Linked DNA regions of Sus scrofa. The protein of the gene in region 3 purifies or fractionates together with the protein of the main gene of each other region. This does not show direct contact. Links are inferred from orthologs where the notes say so. Each region holds a gene or a part of one and is shown on either strand. Other genes may lie near its edges. The genes, in order: DIAPH2, PLXNB2, RHOD and DAAM1.

Region 1 (4,369 bases), on a different chromosome or scaffold from region 3:
CACTCAAATTTTTCAGTTTCAGTTTAAGAACTCTTACCCTTACCCCCATAATCACCTACACAAATTATTTCTACTACCATATGGCTCTCTTTTATGATCCCCCACTGCAACTCCTTTACACAAACATAATTAAGGACTGCTACAGTGATTAACAACATTAACACAGAAAATTAAATGTTGTCTAGGTAAATATGTATTTTACTAGCAATATTTTACGAAGCCCAGATGAACTCCTCTCTAAAAGGCCTTAGAAGACCATGTAGACCACTTCAATAAGACAACTCAAAAGGAGTAAGGCATTTATTTAAAAAGTTTACCAAGTCTTGTTATTTAGACAACGTTCCTTCCTTAAAAATGTGCTGAAATGTCTTCCTAAATTTGTTTTCGTTAACTCTGACATACTTGCTTGTAAAATAACGTATGGCTTAAAAGTTATTTTGAGCAAAAAAGTCCCTATTGATATTAAACTCTTGGATTCAAACTCTTGTTCTGCTATACCAAGCTAGGCACTGAAAGTGATACCATCTCATAACTATCTAGTTACCTTGTCAAAGCATAAAAGATGAAACAGGACAAATGGCCAAATGGAAGGGAAGAATATAACCAAGGTGTTATTCCTGAGATGAGTGCTTTTTCCTTAAGCGCATAGATCCTAAAAGTGGAAAGTTCTTGCTGAAAGTATCAAACTGTGGAAACTATCAGCTCACTTTAATTTTTCACTAAAACTTTTCCTCACCGTTTAAACCACAGTTTTGTACTGAGTCCAAAAGAAAATAAAAAGGAAACGCGGTCACTTTTCTACCACAAATTGATAAATTTCAAAATCACAACATCACAATTTTTAAACACATTAAATTCTGGCGACACCCACAAAACTTCGAAGTCTTTACAATAGGAGCACCATTAACCCTCTGCCAGCAAAGACAATTCACAAAGAACTTGTGACTCAATTTCTTCACTTGTAAATACCTGGGGGTGGGGGGTGGAGGGAGTGAGAATTACATCAAGTAATTCTCAATTTGCCTCAAGTTAGGGTGGACTTGATGAGACGTTAGACCTGGTTATTTTATTCTACCCGCCGGGTCCCTCTCCACATAACAGAAGACTTCGTATTTCCTATAACCATAACACTTCGATCACTGTTTTCCAATATGGACAATCCATAATTGAAAGGCAAATAGGAGGCATGAGAACAACAGGTACATACCAAATGGCCAGATGCCATAAGGGCTTTAGTTATATGTCACTGCCTCCTTCCTTCTTAGAATCAAGCTGCAGGTTAAAACTGAAAACTAGATATGCAACACGTGGCTTGTGCTTCAGACCTCAACTAAGAAACTTCACATTGAAGTTGTATTAGCTGAAATTGTTCAGGAAAACCATCTGCCTTCATGCTACCCGAATTAGAAAGTTTATTGATAAATGTCTGCCTCTATCGGCTAAGGGTTGGCAGAAACAGTCTTTAGCTAATATGCTTTATTAATTTCACCAGTTTTTAGGTTTCACTATTATTAAACTGTTTTCCTATAAACTGAAGAAAAAAAAAAAAAAAGAGGAACCGTTTTTACTGATGAGCTGAAAAAAACTCCAGTATTTCCCAATCTAATACCAGGCCCCATAGATTTCATTCCTCTGCACATGAAGTCAGTGGCAGGAAATGGACTGCTCCCACTGGTTCACACACTCTCAGGACAGGGAGATTTGTTCAGTCTGCCTGCCGCTTTTGGAGCGTTCTCAATCAACTAAGTACAAGTACTTAGACTCTGCCTATTACACACACGACAGCTGTTGGCACCTCAGCAGCCTCCAACGCCCACACTCCCCCCACTCTTCCAAAGAAATGTTTCTTGGGAGAGCACATGGAGAGGCAAGGGAGGGGTAAAAAAAAAAGTCACGTAGGCGGCTCTTTCTTAGATTTCTGGTCCAGTAAAAGACTGGGGGCCTACGTTGTGTGGTTTTGTTGTTATTGTTTGGAGGGATTGGTTAGTTGATTGGTCTGGGGTGTTTTTTTGTTTGTTTGTTTGTTTGTTTGTAAGTCTGTGGGTGGGCTTCCAAGTACTGAGACTAAGAGAGGTTTCCCTGCCCGGACCCTAACCGTTAAGAGGTAAAGCCCAGCAACTGACAAGGGTGGAAGGGGAGTGGAATCTCGCAAAAAAGGTTGGTGGCCGCAAGTTAGACAAACAACAGCCCCTACCCAGTACACGGGGTCTCCCCAAGTTGGGGTGGGGCCTTCCTCCTTCCCGCACTGCCTCTCGGGCTGCCAAGAGGGAGAAAGGGATTAAGTGGAAAGGGGGTGCTCTTCCGCCCCCACGCCGTCTCCGCGCCTCGGCGTGGCCGCTGCTTTCGCGGCTCCCCGAGTTGCACAGCGAGGTCGCGGTCACCCTTGGGAGGGGGCCCCGGGTCCCCCTGTGTTCAACGGCAGGAGGATCCCGGGGCTCTCGCTGTCCCCAAGAACGGCGGGGGCTGCGGGAGCACTCACCAATTTTGGTTTGTTTTTCGTTTCCTCTTCGTTGGCGGCCCGGTTCCCCGCGCTCCGCTTGTTGCTTCGGCCCCCACTGGGTTCCTCGCCGCCGCCTCCCGCGCCCGCCGCCGCCGCCGCCCCGAGCTGCTCCATCTTTCTCCGGCCCTGTCACCTGTGCCCTGGAACCCCACCTCTCCTCCACTGAGGAAGCCCCTCGGGGCGGTCCAGCTGCCCCGCGCAGATTCGGCAGCACCTCTTTCCGGGAGGGAGAGTGGGTCTGTCTGGGGAGCTGCCGATCTCACGTCCCTGAGGCCCCCGGCTCCCAGGCACCCCCGACGCGACACGCCGTTGCCACTATTCTGCGCTGGGGCAAGCCCTGCCCCTGAGCGGCTGCTATTATCCCGGTCGCCGCCGCCGCCGCCGCCCTCAGGGCGGTGTTTAGGGTGGAGGGAAAGTAGGTGCCTATCTCTTTAAGAGGGCCTCCACACACGTGATTCATCAAAGTGCCCGCAGTCCGCCGCCCGGACGCGGAAAGCTACTTCCTACTCCCGCTGCCGAGCGGGTCGGGCTACTGAGCATGCCCGGCGCAGCGAAGGCAGCCAAACGAGGGGAGTTTAAGCTGCGGTTAAGCACTGATTTCCCTTCCTAGGGGCCTAATGTGAAATGGGAGGGAACTAGCCGAGAGGGAGAAGGTGTAGCCCATTTCAGAGATGGGGACACTGAGGCCCGAGAGGATTCCCGTGTGGATTTCACGGGGCCGTCTCTCTTAGTGTCCGCTTCCACTCGTGTAGGCCTGAGCACCTTCCCTGGCTGACCGAGGCCTTGCCAGGTGGTTTGGTTGCGCTCCATTCTGTGGGAGGGGTTGATTGGCAAGGCAACCCGCGTCCCGTAGGAAAACCGCCACAGGGAGCGCTGATTAATTGCCTAGACAGACTGCACGGGTCAAAGTGGAAAGAGTGGGTGCTTTCTGTTGCCATGATTGCGTTGCGACCAAAGAAATACAGTCGTTCCTTTATTCCCAGGCTGCTGGGTAGAGGCAGCTGACGCCCACTGCTTAATCCCTAGGGGATGTAAGGCTCTCTAGCCAAAGCACCTATGGAGAGCTAACAATTGGATTGAGTACTATTTTTTAAGTTTTCCGAAACACTTCAGGTTTAAAGTTGTTTCGCGGAGTAAGATCGTGTGTGTCAAAGATCATTTGTTGAAAATGTAAATCTAGACAAATGCTAGGTGTTTTTGTGCAGCAACAGCAACCACCAAACACTGTGGGTATTCTTAGTCTCTAGTACCAGAGTTGTCAGGAAGAGGCCCACACCTCTTTAAAAATAATGCTCACATTGAGAACATTAGCAGGGCCAGGCAAGACCTGAATGAACCATCATGGTACAATCTGGAGAAGCTACCTGAAAAGTCAATTTAGGTCCCAAATCTATGAACATGCCCATGTGCCTGTTATTCAGATATCTTCAGACCGTGACCCTTTTACCATTCTCCCCTTCAGCCTAAATTTGTCTGTGCTGAAACTAATTTGTTTATGAACACATTTATTGAGAGTGCATTAGGATGAATTTGACCAGGCTAAAGGGGTGAGGAGGCAATTAACTTGGAAAGTAGAATAAAAAGAATGTTAGCTATCTGAAAGCAGTCTAAATCCTGGCTTGGCCTTTGTCATCAACATTCTTTTTAATCAAACAGGTAGTAAACTACCCAAGGACAGCAGGCAAAAGGGAATACATGCTCCCAGACAGGGTGGGCAAAGAGCCCCAAGGTAAATTTGCTTTGTTGAAGTTCCTATTTGACTTAAAATTTGATGTATATTTTGAACTCACTACACACACACACTCACTCCCATGTGATTTATTTTTTTTTCCCTGCATGATTTACATTACTTAAATATCTCCCCTCCTG
Region 2 (4,517 bases), on a different chromosome or scaffold from region 3:
GTAGAGGCCGGGAGACCAGCGCAGCCCCCTCCTTCTGGCCAGGCCTGGGTTCGAGTCCAGGCAGGCTGACCAGTTCATCTCCGCCCCTCACCGGCCCCCAGCCTTACCCACACCCTTGTCCAGGGCAGGCTCTGGGCATGAGGCTCCTCCACAGGGGAGAAAAGCTTATTCCCCCCACCCAGGCCAGGAAGCCACGGCAGGACAGGGGGCCTTGTCGCTGCAGCAAGAAGGACTGAGGCGTGGTGTAAGGACTTCCTGCAGAAGGACTGCAGAGTGGACCTGCCCAGACCAGAAAAGGGACCACGGGAGAGGCGCTGGAAGCCACAGCCTGTCCTGCCAGGGCACCCTCTGCCCACACCCAGAGTGCTCACCAGCTCTGACCCCCAGGCTGTGAGTTCAAGGCTGGGAACAGGACACCATGACGGCTCAAGGGCCTGCAACGAGCTGTCCTGGGGGAGAAGGGCACACGCCATATGGACCCCTCCTCAGGCTGCCAGCCCCCGCCCGTGCCTTCCACCCCAATCTCTTCCGCTCCACTCGCCTGGGCTGGGGCCAGGCCCCTGGGTTTCCTGCACTGGGCCCCAGCTGTCAGCTCTGCCTCCCACCGTGGTCCCTACAGGGCCACCGGCTGCACACATGCGAAGTGGACCCCAGGAGCCCACTCAGCAGAAGCAGCATCCCAGACAGCTCCTTGAAAGGACCCAAGGGACCCATCTCTGGCCTTGAGCTCCTCAGCCATGGGATGGGCTCACAGGTGCCACATCTAAACGTGGGAGGGGTTTGGGGGCACAAGGGCTGGGCTGTCGGAGGGGCTTGGAGAACCGTGGTGCATCAGTCGCCTGCTGGTTTGTGGGTCAGTCAAGAGGCAGGAGGGTGGCCTGAGATGCAGCCAGTGAGAGAGCCCAGTGCCCCACCCACCCTAAGCAGCCATCCCGCCCTGCCCGCTCGTCACCCCAGGGAAGCACCGGTGTGAGTAACCGGCCCAAGGTGTGTCCATGACCTGGGCCCTGGAGGGCAGCCTCAAAGGGCCCTGGGGCCACGGTGCTAAGGCCTCTGGGGTGAAGGGGGCTCCTGGCTGGGCCGCTGCCCTGGGCCCCAGGGAACAGGGTTCAGGACTCCCTCCGCACCCTCGCCCCCCCCCGCCCCCTGGAGGGGCCCGGGCCCGCACCAGGCCCTCCCAGCAGGGCCTGCCTGCGACCTCTGGCGGTTCTCCAGCCCAAGGGTGACGCATCGCCCCCACCCTGCCCCCAACCGGTCTGAGCAGCCGCGGAGGTGGCAGAGCTGCCCAGACTTGCCTGTCCCTCCCTTCGGAGGCTCTCTGCGCGGCCCCGGAAGCGGATCTCTCTCCCAGGGCTGTGGCCTCCCCCCTTGGGTGGCTGGACACGGCTGGATAATCCAAAATAATTCCTTCTTGGCAGGCGGCCGGTGGGGGAGGGGGGGACTTGCATTCCAAACCCTTGTTTTTCTCTAACTTCCCTCCCCTCCGGGGGCAAGGAGCCCCAGCCAGACCTCAAGCCCCCCTTCCTCAGAAGGAGGTGGCCCCCCCATAGGTAAGGGGAGGGAGGAGGTGGGAGGCTGGGACCATCTGCGTGCGCTCAGTCTCCTCCGGGAATTCCTCAAAGCTGACACACCACCAAAAATACCCAAGGGGCCCGGCCAGGCCCACGGTGACCCTCCTAGGGACCCTCACCTCAGAGCACAGCACCCCCCGCAGGTGTCCAACCCTCAGATGCTCCCCTCTGTGCCAGGATACCATCTGGACGCGGGGTCAGGCCGAAAGCCCCCAGCCCCCTGGGCTTGTTCTCCCACCTCCACAGGTCCTGCCCCACCTCTGCCCCAGGGGGGCACTGGGGCTGAACTTAGACCTGGAAGGAGGAGCTCCCCAGGGCAGGTATGGGCCCAGAGAGTCCCCAAGCCCCAGAACATTCCACGAGCTTTGGGGCTGAGCCTCACCCCCAGGCCTGACCCCCACCACAGGCCCCGAGCCCAGCCAGACCCCTTCCTTCTTTTTCCAAGTTGTTGGCAAGAGCCCAGTGACGTGGCAGGAAGCGCTGAGGCTCTTGAGCTCAGGGACTCCCCTCAAAATCTGCCAGACAGCTGAGCGCAGAGGAGTGGGAAGGGTCCGTCTGGGAGGGCTTCCTGCAGGAGGAGGCACACAGAGGTGCAGGGCCCGAGCCTGAGGGGGCAGGGCCCAGGCGGCCGGCAGAGACTTCCTGGGCCCCAGAGTGTCCACCCAAACCGCACCCCAATAAACCTTGGCAACTGGGCGCAGGCTGCGCGGCGAAGCAGGCGGGGACCCCCGGGACCTGCCCAGCGCTGGGCTGCGCCCGGTCCCAGCCCAGAACTGCGCACCCGCCTCGCAGCCTGCCAGGTGCGGACCAGGGGCTCCCAGGGCGGTCCTGGCTGCCGCCCTCCTCACAAGGCCCCGGGGGTGCGGGGCGCTGAGGCCCGACCACTGCCCAGCTTCCCGGGGAGAAAGCCGCGGCTCCGCCTCGGCCGCCGCCGGGGAACCAGAGCTGGGGTGGGGAGGCGGTGCAGGCCTGGAGCTCTGGCACAACGGAGACCATCTCCGCCCCCTGCACCGATCTCCGAGGCCAGAGGAGCGGGGGCGTGAGCAGGGGGGGAGCTCTGGGAGCCCCAAGGGGTCCGAGGGGCTCCAGAGGGACGCGGGCGGCGGGAGGGGCCGCGGCGCCCGGCCGGGGCCCCCTGGCTGCGCCGGGCCCGCTGTCTCGGGCTCCGCAGGCCTCGCCCGCCACCTGGAAGAGCGTGGGGCGGGAGTGGCCCGGCCCCGGACGGCCCGACACACAGACGGCGGCAGAGGCCCGAGTCGCCCTCCGCCGGGCGGCAGCGGCCCGAGTCCCCCTGCGTCCCGAGCGCTCCAGGCCAGGGCGGAGCGGCGCGGCCGGCCACCCGCCCCCCCAGCCGGCCGCCCCGCGGGCCCCGCACCGCATCTCCGTACCTGCACGTCCGCCGCCGAGGCTCGATGGCGCCCGGGCCGCGCTCGGCGCTGTGCTGCGGCCCGCGCGGCTGCCATGGAGACGGGCCTTTGTGTGGCCGAGGAGGGGCCGGAGCGCGCGGGAGCAGCGGCCCCGCCCCCGGCGGGGAGCGGGGGAGGGGAGGGGAGGAGCGGGGGAGGGGAGAGCGGAGGGGGGAGGGCGGAGGGAGAGCAGGGGCCCCACGGGCGGGGCGCCCCCCGCGTCCCTGGTGCCCGCTGGCCACGGTGGGCGCGGCGCGTTCGCGGGCCTGGTTCGGGTCCAAGTTGGCGCCAGGGGAGCCCCGGTCTGGGTACTGGAGGAGAGCGGGGGCCAGACCGAGGTCCCCGAGGCACCCTTGCAGTTCTGTCGGAGAGGGGCCGGCCACCAGCACCCCTTCCCTCACACTGGGGAACAGGCCAGGCGGGCCACGCCCTTGCCCTGTGGGGGGGCTCGGAGCTGCTGGGTCTTGCCTCCCACCCTCCTAGGGGAAGAGGGCACCTGCCCTGTGTCCCCTCAAGTACATCCTTGGCCTCCATCTGCTCTCCTACTCCCTGGGACCCCCCCCCCCAGTGAGCCTTTGGGGACCTGTGCACAGGACCCAGTTACTCTCTCGGGTGCTCGCAGGTGGGTGGTGAGATGAGCCTCTCCCAGGGCTCCAGCTCTGGACTAGAGTTTGCCCCACGTCCGTCCGGCCACTCCAGCCCCTACCCATCCTGGTCCTGATGCCCCCAGCCCCTCAGACTTGAGCAGGGGGGGGGCTCCACTGCCCCCCACCCACAGTCTCCAGCAGAGGACCCAGGAAGGATGTGGGACCCTTCCCCAGCCCTAACCTCTACTTCCATACCGGGACGCCCCCTCCCATCTTTGGGGACCCACTCTCCACCCAGCCCTTCCCCTCCCTGCAGATGCTCCATTTCCTCTATCTCAGCCTCCAACCCAGATGAAGCCACTGGAGATGGTGGGTCACCCGTCATCGGTTCTTCCTGCTACCCTCCCACCCCCACCCAGCCGGCCAAACCTTCACCCCTTCGGCCCTGAAGCAAATCACACCAAGACCCACCCCACGTTCATCACAGGGGACCCTCAAATAACCAAGTTCTGACAGGGATGCCAACTTTTGTCAAAAAAGGAAATTAAAAGACAAGCATTGTGTCACAGGGCATTTTAATACCAAAGATGTGGGAAGGCCACCATCCCAGCCTAAAAGAGAGTCTTTAAATAGAGTGCAGGAAGCTGGGGGGTGAGGACTGTCCTTCCTGTCCCTGCAGCCGCCCACTGGCGCCCTCCACCCCACCCCCACCCCGGGCCCACGCACACCACTACCCTCACACCCCGGCCTCAGACCAGGAGTTGCAGCCCCTCCAGGCCCTGCTGCCCAGGGGCTCTGGTAGGAGATGGCTCCGCCTCTTCTGCCCACCTGCCCCCCCTGCCCTCCTCACTCTCTGACCCCAGCCCCGTGGGGGGACAGAGGCTCAGCCAAGCCAGAGCCGCCCTGATCCTGGCAGGGAAGGCAGGAGTCTCTGGGGAGATGGAGTTGGCAGG
Region 3 (4,588 bases):
AGGGATGGGCCACAGCCAGACGAGGCTCAATGAGCCCCCTCCCCGGCCAGTCCCAGCCTGCTCTCTGCCCTTTGCTACAGGCAAGAGGCCTGGGATACAGGACCCCAAGTCTCCCAGATGCTGGCTCCCTGGGTCTGGAGGGCTCTCAGGAGGAGGAGACCAGGGGCGGGGGCTGAAGGCTGGTCCCGCAGGCAGACACTGGGGGCTGCAGAGAGTGTCCTGGTCATGGGCGGGAAGACGTGGGTTCCAGGCCAGCACTGCCCCTGCCAGGCCCTGTGGCCTGAGGCCAGACTCCTCTCTCTCTCTCTTCTCTGGCCTCAGTTTTCCTGAAGATGAAGGTTGTTCCAGCTCTCAGCCCTTGTGTTTTTTTCTTTCCTTTCGCTAGCTATGCCTGTGGCATAAGGAAGTTCTTGGGCCAGGGGTCGAATCAGAGCTGCAGCTGCAGGCTATACCACAGCCACGGCAACACCAGATCTGAGCTGTCTCTGTGACCTACACTGCAGTTTGCAGCCATGGCGGATCCTTAATCCACTGGGAGAGGCCAAGGCTCAAACCCACATCCTCACAGAGACGACGCTGTGTTCATAACCCGCTAAGCCACAGCAGGACCTCTGCTCTTGTGTTTCTTTCTTCTTCTTCTTCTTTTTTTTTTTTTTTTTTGCTTTTTAGGGCCGCACTTGAGGCATATGGAGATTCCCAGGCTAGGGGTCAAATCAGAGCTATAGCTGCCGGCCTACACCACAGCCACAGCAATGCTAGATGCTTAACCCACTGAGCAAGGCCAGGAATCAGACCTGCAACCTCATGATTCCTAGTCGGATTCATTTCCACTGCGCCACGACGGGAACTCCATGCCCTTGTGGGTTTTTTTGTTTGTTTGTTTTTTTAAACGCTTAGAGTTAGACCACTTTATTTATTTATTTATTTATTTTGCTTTTTAGGGCCGCGCCTGCAGCATATGGAGGTTCCCAGGCTAGGGATCTAATGGGAGCTACAGCTGCCAGCCTACGCCACAGCCACAGCCACGCTAGATCTGAGCTGTGTCTGCAACCTATACCACAGCTCATGGCAATGCTGTAGCCTTAGCCCACTGAGCGAGGCCAGGGATCGAACCTGCAACCTCATGGTTCCTAGTCGGATTCCTTTTTGCTGCACCACGATGGGAACTCCATGCCTTTGTGTTTCTTTTAAGTGAAGAGGTCTCTCAGAGTTTCCCGTGTGGCTCAGTGAGTTAAGCTCCTGACTAGTATTCATGAGGATGTGGGTTTGATCCCTGGCCTCGCTCAGTGGGTTAAGGATCCAACATTGCCACAAGCGGTGGTGTGGGTTGCAGATGTGGCTCGAATCCTGAATTGCTATGGCTGCGGCGTGGGCAAGAAGCTGCAGATCCGATTTGCCCCCTAACCTGGGAACTCCCATATGCCACAGGTGAGGCCCTAAAAAAAAGACAAAAAAAAGTCTCTCTTGTGCTTGGAGGTAGACAGGTCCTAGGGAGTCAGGGTTCCCTAACAGGGGAGGAGCCGAGACAAGGCCAAGTTCACCCTGGTGATAAGCATGCCTTACTTTCCCCTGGCTGCCCAGAGTGTCCTTCAACACACACACACACACACACACACACACACACACACACACACATACTTTCCATTGACTGTGAGAGTCCAGAACAGTGGTGGTGACGCACCGCTCTCCCAGCCCCTCTTCTGGGCCCCAGCTGGCCCAGCCTCTCTGTGGCGCTCCCCACACTAAGCCGTAATTGCTGGTTCTCACAGGGACCATCTGGGGGCCTGGAAACACAGCCCTCCCCCAACTAAAAAAAAAAAATCTGTGACCGGCCAAAGGACGTGACGTCAGCTCCCAAAACCACAAAGCAAGAGTCGGCTTGATGCTGCCACAGTGGAAAGAAAGGCTGACACCGTTACCAGGCCTGGCCTCTCCTGCCTCCTCCATCCAATTCCCCAGCGCTGCACCACCCCAGGGGTTCGAAGGATGCTGAGCCAGGATGGGGGCAGCGGGGGGGAAGAGGTCATACGGGAAGCAGATCCAGGGACTCCCAGGAGAACTGGGCTGAGGGGGTGGGGGCAGGCAGTGTGGGTGGTGGGTGGTCCAGCCCCTGTCCTGGTGCCGGCCAGTCTGCCTGGAGAGCCAATGAACATGCTGGAGAAGGGCTGACAGTCCACAGCCCAGGACAATCCAGAGCCCAGGCATCAAGGATGTGCCAGGTACCCAGGGGCTCTCTCAGCCTTACCTTCATTCCACCTCACCCCCACCCTCTGGTCGCTCCTCCCCCCGAGGTCGAGTGAGGAAAGGGAGGCTCCAGAGGCTGAGCGAGGTACCGAGGCCCCCGGGGTTTGTTAGAGAGGCTGAGGTGCCAACCCAGCTGCCTGGCGAGCCCATGTGCTCTTCCCCTCCAAGGCTGAGCCCAAGGGACACCCACGGCCGGGGCAGGAGTTGGGAGAAGTGATGTTTCTCCAGAAAAACTTGTGCTGCCTCTCAGTGAGTCCTTTCTGTTGCAGCTCAGAGCTGGCCTCTGACCTATAAGAACCCATTCCGCACAGCGACCCTGGGAGGTGGGCGCCATCATTACTCCTGTGGCACGGTTTAAGGAAACAGGCACAGAGAGGGTAAGGGGCGGGCCGCAGGTCACACAGCTTTAAGTGGCAGAGTCATGATCTGAAGCCAGGCGGCCTGGCTCCAGAGCCGGCCGTCCCTCTTAGCCGTGCTGGGCCACCAAGGGCTCCCTGAGTCCCCAGGTGGCCTAGGTCCGTCCCTGGGACACCCCCCCTGGCAGTGCCGTTCTTGGCACTTGACAGACGATCTCACGGAGGCCTTCACTCCCGATGGCAGAGCAAGAATGGCCTTGGAGCCCACGCTCCGCTGGGAGGCAGGACCCGAGCCCGTCGGGGGGTGGGGTGGGGGGGAAGGATGCGCCCAGGCCGCGCGCCCCGCTGCGCCCCGAGGGGCTGCCGCTCACCTCGGGGAAGGCGCCTTCGGCGAAGACCATCAGCAGCGACGTCTTCCCGCAGCCGCCGTCGCCCACCAGGACCACCTTGACCTCCTCGCGCTCGGCCCGGGCCGCCTTCATCGCGGGGCAGCGGAGGGCCGGCGCCGAGAGCGGCGAGCTGGGGCCGGCGGGGCAGGAATGTGGAAGGGGCGGGGCGGCGGGAGGAAGTGCGGGCGGCGGCGGGCGGCCCAGGTGAGAGGCCCGGCCCCTCGGGTCCCAGGCCCCGGGCAGCCCCAGAGCCCCAGAGCCCCTACCGCCCCTGCTGTGTGCCAGCGCGGAGGCCACGGCGGGGGACCCGGCGCACGCCCATCTGATGGGAGGAAAGTAGCCGGGCAGCGATGCTGTGGAAGGGGAAGAGGGGGCTCTGGGCCCACTTCCCGGGGAGCAGGGAAGCGCGGATCAGCCCTGCTGGTCTACTAGCTCCGCAGGCCGCGCTGGGGCCCTACGGCCCAGTCTAGGTGGAGCAGCCAGCGGAGCTAGTGATTTTTGATTGACTGACTGAATGAATGAAGGTGCATCTGCTCCGCAGCTCTGGAGACAGAGCACAGCACAGTCCCCGTGGTGTTCCAGGGCATGCGGGGAGGGCACACCAGTATGGGTTAGTCACTGGCACTGCCACCCGCCCCCAGCCACACCAGGAAGTCTCACTACAGGTGGGTCTCACCTCTGCCGGGGCATGATCTGGGGAAAGCCATGGAACCTTCCATGTGTGCAGGGCTTAGAGCAGGTCTGGCTCACAGCTGGCGATGCCATGTGTGAGTGATTCTTAGGACTTAACCAACACTGGTGGCTCTGTGCCCAGGACCTGGGGACCCTGAACCATTGAAGTCCAAGTCTCCCACCGGGGTCTCTCCCACGGCCTAGAATGGGAGACAGGCTGGATGCCCGTGTGGTAAGGGCCCCGGTGGTGGTGGTGGGGACAGGCAGCAGACGGGAGTCGGGAAGCCGGGCTCCTCGCCAGGGCTGAAGGTGGTCAGGAAACCCTTCTGAGAAGAGGGCCCAGAGTCTTGAGGAAAATGTGAGACGTGGTGAGATGGGGGAAGGGAAGAGGGTTCCAAATGGAGGGAGAAACATGTGCAAGGTATGGGGCCATGAGGGGGCTGTGCAGAGGGGCAGGGCGCAGATCTTTCCTGCCATGATGGCTGAGGTTGGGTTAGGGTGAGGCTGAGGGTTAAACAGGGCCTTGATGGTGGAACCATCTAGATGCCAGGAATAAATGCAGAACTGCCCTGGGGACTTACTACCACCTGACCTCCTACCCCTGTTAGCAGCCTGGATTGAAATATCTATTTTAGGAGTTCCCGTCGTGGAGCAGCAGAAATGATCCAACTAGGAACCATGAGGTTGCGGGTTGGATCCCCGGCCTCGATCAGTGGGTTAAGGATCCGGCATTGCCATGACCTGAGGTGTAGGTTGCAGATGCAGCTTGGATCTGGCGTTGCTGTGGCTGTGGTGTAGGCTCCGATTCGACCCCTAGCCTGGGACCCTCCATGTGCTGTGGGCGCGGCCCTGAAAAGCGAAAAAATAAAGTATTTTGAAACAGGCCCAAGGGCCTCCCCAGATCCCGGAGTGTTTTCACTGAAGCTC
Region 4 (3,928 bases), on a different chromosome or scaffold from region 3:
GAACCCAGATGTTATGTAGATATATGACATGCATACGTATAGGAACTCAAGGGTGACCTCTAGAACATTTCAGTTCTCCCACTTGCTATTTTGAAATAAATGTCCTACATTGTCACTATTATCTCAAGGGCTGCCAAATAAGAAGAAACTTACATCCGGACGACATTCTTAATATTAAAGTTTTCCAAAGGCGTGGAGTCAGGGTCTTGACCTTTGTCGTTCTGAATAACTATTTGCTGTATAATTCTATCCAGCAGTAGCCAGTACTGAACGGTGTTGCCACTTCTCTTGTCTAAAAAAAAAAGAAAAGAATGGTGGAAATACTTCAAGTGGTTTCTAAACTTGGATGAGCATTTTTCAACAGTGGTCATCCACCAGAGCCACAGAACCAGAGAGATGTTTGCAACATCTGCACCACCCCTTCCCAAAATTTCTGAAATTCTGACAGGCAATGATCATTTATATGATTGAGGGGCATTTTCTACCCCTTTCTAAATGTACTGTAAGGCATATATTTATTTTTAAAATCAAAGTGAGTTATAATTCATGTCATTTTGAGAACTTCACAACACCCCTTAAGCTGTGTGGAGACACACTGGGCTGTCACAAAACCAAGGTCGGGAATGCCTGGTGTGCACCCAACCTAGTCCACACTCTTCAGAAGACAGAGGCCTTTGGCTGATGTCTAAATGTTCACAGACACTCAGGTAAGTCACATATACACTCACAAGGCATTTGGAGGCAGTGGTGCAGGATGGACATGAAGTGAGGGTAAGCTTCACTGTGGGTCAGCCTCTTCCTGGTCAGCTCAAACATCTGAGTAGCACTTTTTGTGTCTATGTGAACCTGTTTCATATGAAAAAGAAATCCAAGTCCAACATCCAAGTTCATCAATTTCTACAAGGTAAGGTAAACAAATCCAAGGCAATCTAGCCACTTAGCAAAACAGAAATTTGATTTTGCTCTGGTTATATGTCAACGCTATGACACACATTACAACAGGGAAATCTATGAACTGCTGAGTCAAATCAAAATAATTGTAAGCATACATACCAGTTCAAATCTTTTGGCAAATTCTAGTTCATCTTCATTTCGGAGCATTTCAAAAAAATCTAAATGCCTGAAAGTCAGTTAAAGAAAAGCTATTAAAAGTAGAACATCCTACAAACACAGGCACATGGGAATCAGGACATTAATACTATGGCCTTTCCTAAATTTTCAGATACTTCTAAAAGAAATAAGACAACAAAATCTGAATGCCTTCCCTTAACCATGTTCTATCATCTAAATGAAATGAGATCACTACAAGAGACAAAAAGCCTAGGATGCCTAGCACATAGAGGCCAAGGCATAAAGGTTTATCAAATCCCAAAATAATCAAATCCAGGTTCTACTCCCAGAATCTATAGAATGAAAACCCGATATAACTAACTTGACTGACCACTCAACTAAAGATTACAAAACAAATGTTCATGCCATTCACTTATTCATTCAAATATTTATTGAATATTGACACCAGGGATGATGAGTTCTGTGAAGATAAATACATCAGGGTAGAGGGAATAGAGATGATGGGAGGTGAGGTGAGGAAGGTGAACACCAAGGTTGGAAAAGGTGTCTCTGTAGGGAACAAGTCATCTGGACATCTTTGGGAAGATCTTTTAATGCTGAAGAAATAGGTGCAAAGGCCTTGGGGCAAGGGTATTTTGACATGTTCATGGAATATCAAGGAGAAGAGCATGGTGGAGTGTGTGCATGAGGGGGAAGAGTAGTAAAAGGCAAGATCTGAGAGCTGGGAGGATATGTTAGAAATTGTAAAATGACTGCAGACAAGAGCAAATGAACAGGAAAGTGGAAATTAACATTCAGAGATTGTCTATCAAAGGTGCCCAGTGATTCCACATGGTTTACAGTCAACTTTCTTAACAGCTCTGAAAGAGAGCAACAAACAGCAGCATCATTATTTCTTCAGGAATAAAACCAGTAAAGTTCAGAAAAATTGAGTAACTTGACCAAAATACACAGCAAGGAAGTGGCAGGACAAGGATATGGATTCAAGTCTAAAGTCAAAACTACACAAGTTCCCTAAGCAATGTGCTGCTTCTTCCATTGAGAGAAGCCTTACTATAAAAACATCTATTAGCCGGCAACATTTTGGTTCAAGTTCCTTAGGTCACAAGTAGTTCACAGACGGACTCTATACACACAGCAAAAGCATGAACAGTCTGACTTACCTATCTAATGTTGAATTTTCATGTTCCCTTAATTTATCTATTACAGGTTGAATTCCCAACATCAGAAATTCATAGCGAAGATGAAGTCTAAAGTCCAAACTTTCCTGAAAGTAAAAGGGTGATGAGTACATATATAGGCTCTTTAGACTAGATAATCTGTAATCTTTTAAAATTATTCTTTAATAATGTATATTTTAAATTGAGGTACAGGAGGCTCTTACCACTCCTGCGCCTTGGCTTAGCACTGCATTGATGAAGGACATGATGGCAGTCTTGAGGCTCACTTCATCTCGATACCGCCCCGTGCTTTTATCCAGGTCATTAATTAACGTCTACCAAGGATGCAAGCGTGAAAACAAAGGGCTGAATATAATTGCTTACCTTACACTCATTTTATTCAGAACTTAATTTTTAAAAACTCATGTTTAATCACTGATCCATAGAAAGCTAGCTTTTCCCCTTAAGATTAGTCCTAAAAACTTTGCTTTCAAAATTCTTACATCATCTATGTTCAAATATACAATTAAACAAAGTACAAATGACTGTGCTTGGTTAATTCTGCTTGCTTTTTATATTTGAGTAGAAATATGGTGACATACTGTCACTGTTTATATAGATCCTAAATCAAGAATGGCAAGTCATAAAATTTTTAGGGATCGCCCATTTAGTGGATCAAAAAGCGTATAATATAATGCGTAGGAAGCAGGGCTATGTTTTTAAATTCAGAACAGTGATCTCCCCTCATCCTCAGGGGGTATGTCCCAGGATCCCCAGTGGACGCCTGAAACCATGGATAGTACTGAACCCTATATACACTTCTACAGAGACTATGTTTTCCCTATATGAACCGCTGAATGCTGTGTACAGTGTGGCTACACTAGACAAAAGGATGATTCACATCCTGGGAGGGACTGAGCAGGATGGCCTGAGATTTCATCATGTTATTCAGACCAGCTGCACAGTTTAAAATTTCTGGAATTTTCTGTTTAATATTTTTACACCACAGTTGACTGTGGGTAAATGGCATTGTGGAAAGCAGATCTGCAGGTAAGAGGGGACTACTGTAAATCCACAACCCTGGACTGATTAACTACAGGAAGAATATTCTACTCTCTGCCTAAGAGGAAGGAAATGCTTGAAGTCACGACGTGAATGATCACCACAGGGGGAAATCTCAAGTTCTGTTTCCCCTTCAGGGCAGGAAAAGGCACTGTCGGGAGGCCTGAATGAAGAAGGAAGCACCCACCTGAAAACGGGTTCTTTCGCTGGCATACTTCTGGTAGTGCAGCATGGCCTGCAGAACCTTCTTGTGGCCCCCGGGAACCAGGCACACAGCGCCCAAGATTTCCAGCACGGCTACCTTCGTTTTAATGTTCTCTGTACTCAGACTCTGAGCAATTACATTAATACTCTCAGAATGAGCCAGGACGTGAGCCCGACCTTGAGAGTTGTTCATGAGTGCCTTTATACATCCAATGAGAGAGGTATGTATTCGAGACTCCGAGGTCTCGTAGTCCATGGTCTTTAAAAAGTTGAGAATACATGACAGGCCATCCAAGTCGATGAATCTGGTTACAAACCTGTCATAAAAAGAAGGATGAAATGTACCAGACTTAAGTCTCTTTGGAATTAAAAAAAATTTTTTTATAGTTGAATTACAATGTTGTGTCAATTTCTGCTGTACAGCATGGTGA

What was found.
Region 1: the proteins of RHOD (region 3) and DIAPH2 purify together in Homo sapiens (co-immunoprecipitation; 3 studies listed by BioGRID and IntAct, with this or other methods). This does not show direct contact. The link is inferred for Sus scrofa from reciprocal best matches to the Homo sapiens genes RHOD and DIAPH2.
Region 2: the proteins of RHOD (region 3) and PLXNB2 purify together in Homo sapiens (affinity purification with mass spectrometry; 3 studies listed by BioGRID and IntAct, counting the BioPlex papers as one, with this or other methods). This does not show direct contact. The link is inferred for Sus scrofa from reciprocal best matches to the Homo sapiens genes RHOD and PLXNB2.
Region 4: the proteins of RHOD (region 3) and DAAM1 purify together in Homo sapiens (affinity purification with mass spectrometry; 3 studies listed by BioGRID and IntAct, counting the BioPlex papers as one, with this or other methods). This does not show direct contact. The link is inferred for Sus scrofa from reciprocal best matches to the Homo sapiens genes RHOD and DAAM1.

Annotation. Positions count from the first base shown.
Region 1 is NC_010461.5:78,600,990-78,605,358, reverse strand, and holds the start of DIAPH2 (protein diaphanous homolog 2), read right to left. Parts: upstream 2,975-4,369; 5' UTR 2,615-2,974; coding exon 2,480-2,614; intron 1-2,479. UniProt on the Homo sapiens protein: Could be involved in oogenesis. Involved in the regulation of endosome dynamics.
Region 2 is NC_010447.5:388,940-393,456, reverse strand, and holds the start of PLXNB2 (plexin-B2), read right to left. Parts: upstream 3,111-4,517; 5' UTR 2,960-3,110; intron 1-2,959.
Region 3 is NC_010444.4:5,401,059-5,405,646, forward strand, and holds the start of RHOD (rho-related GTP-binding protein RhoD), read right to left. Parts: upstream 3,157-4,588; 5' UTR 3,083-3,156; coding exon 2,972-3,082; intron 1-2,971. UniProt on the Homo sapiens protein: Involved in endosome dynamics. May coordinate membrane transport with the function of the cytoskeleton. Involved in the internalization and trafficking of activated tyrosine kinase receptors such as PDGFRB.
Region 4 is NC_010443.5:188,463,943-188,467,870, reverse strand, and holds part of DAAM1 (disheveled-associated activator of morphogenesis 1), read right to left. Parts: intron 3,815-3,928; coding exon 3,481-3,814; intron 2,567-3,480; coding exon 2,456-2,566; intron 2,339-2,455; coding exon 2,235-2,338; intron 1,121-2,234; coding exon 1,054-1,120; intron 847-1,053; coding exon 729-846; intron 293-728; coding exon 154-292; intron 1-153. UniProt on the Homo sapiens protein: Binds to disheveled (Dvl) and Rho, and mediates Wnt-induced Dvl-Rho complex formation. May play a role as a scaffolding protein to recruit Rho-GDP and Rho-GEF, thereby enhancing Rho-GTP formation. Can direct nucleation and elongation of new actin filaments.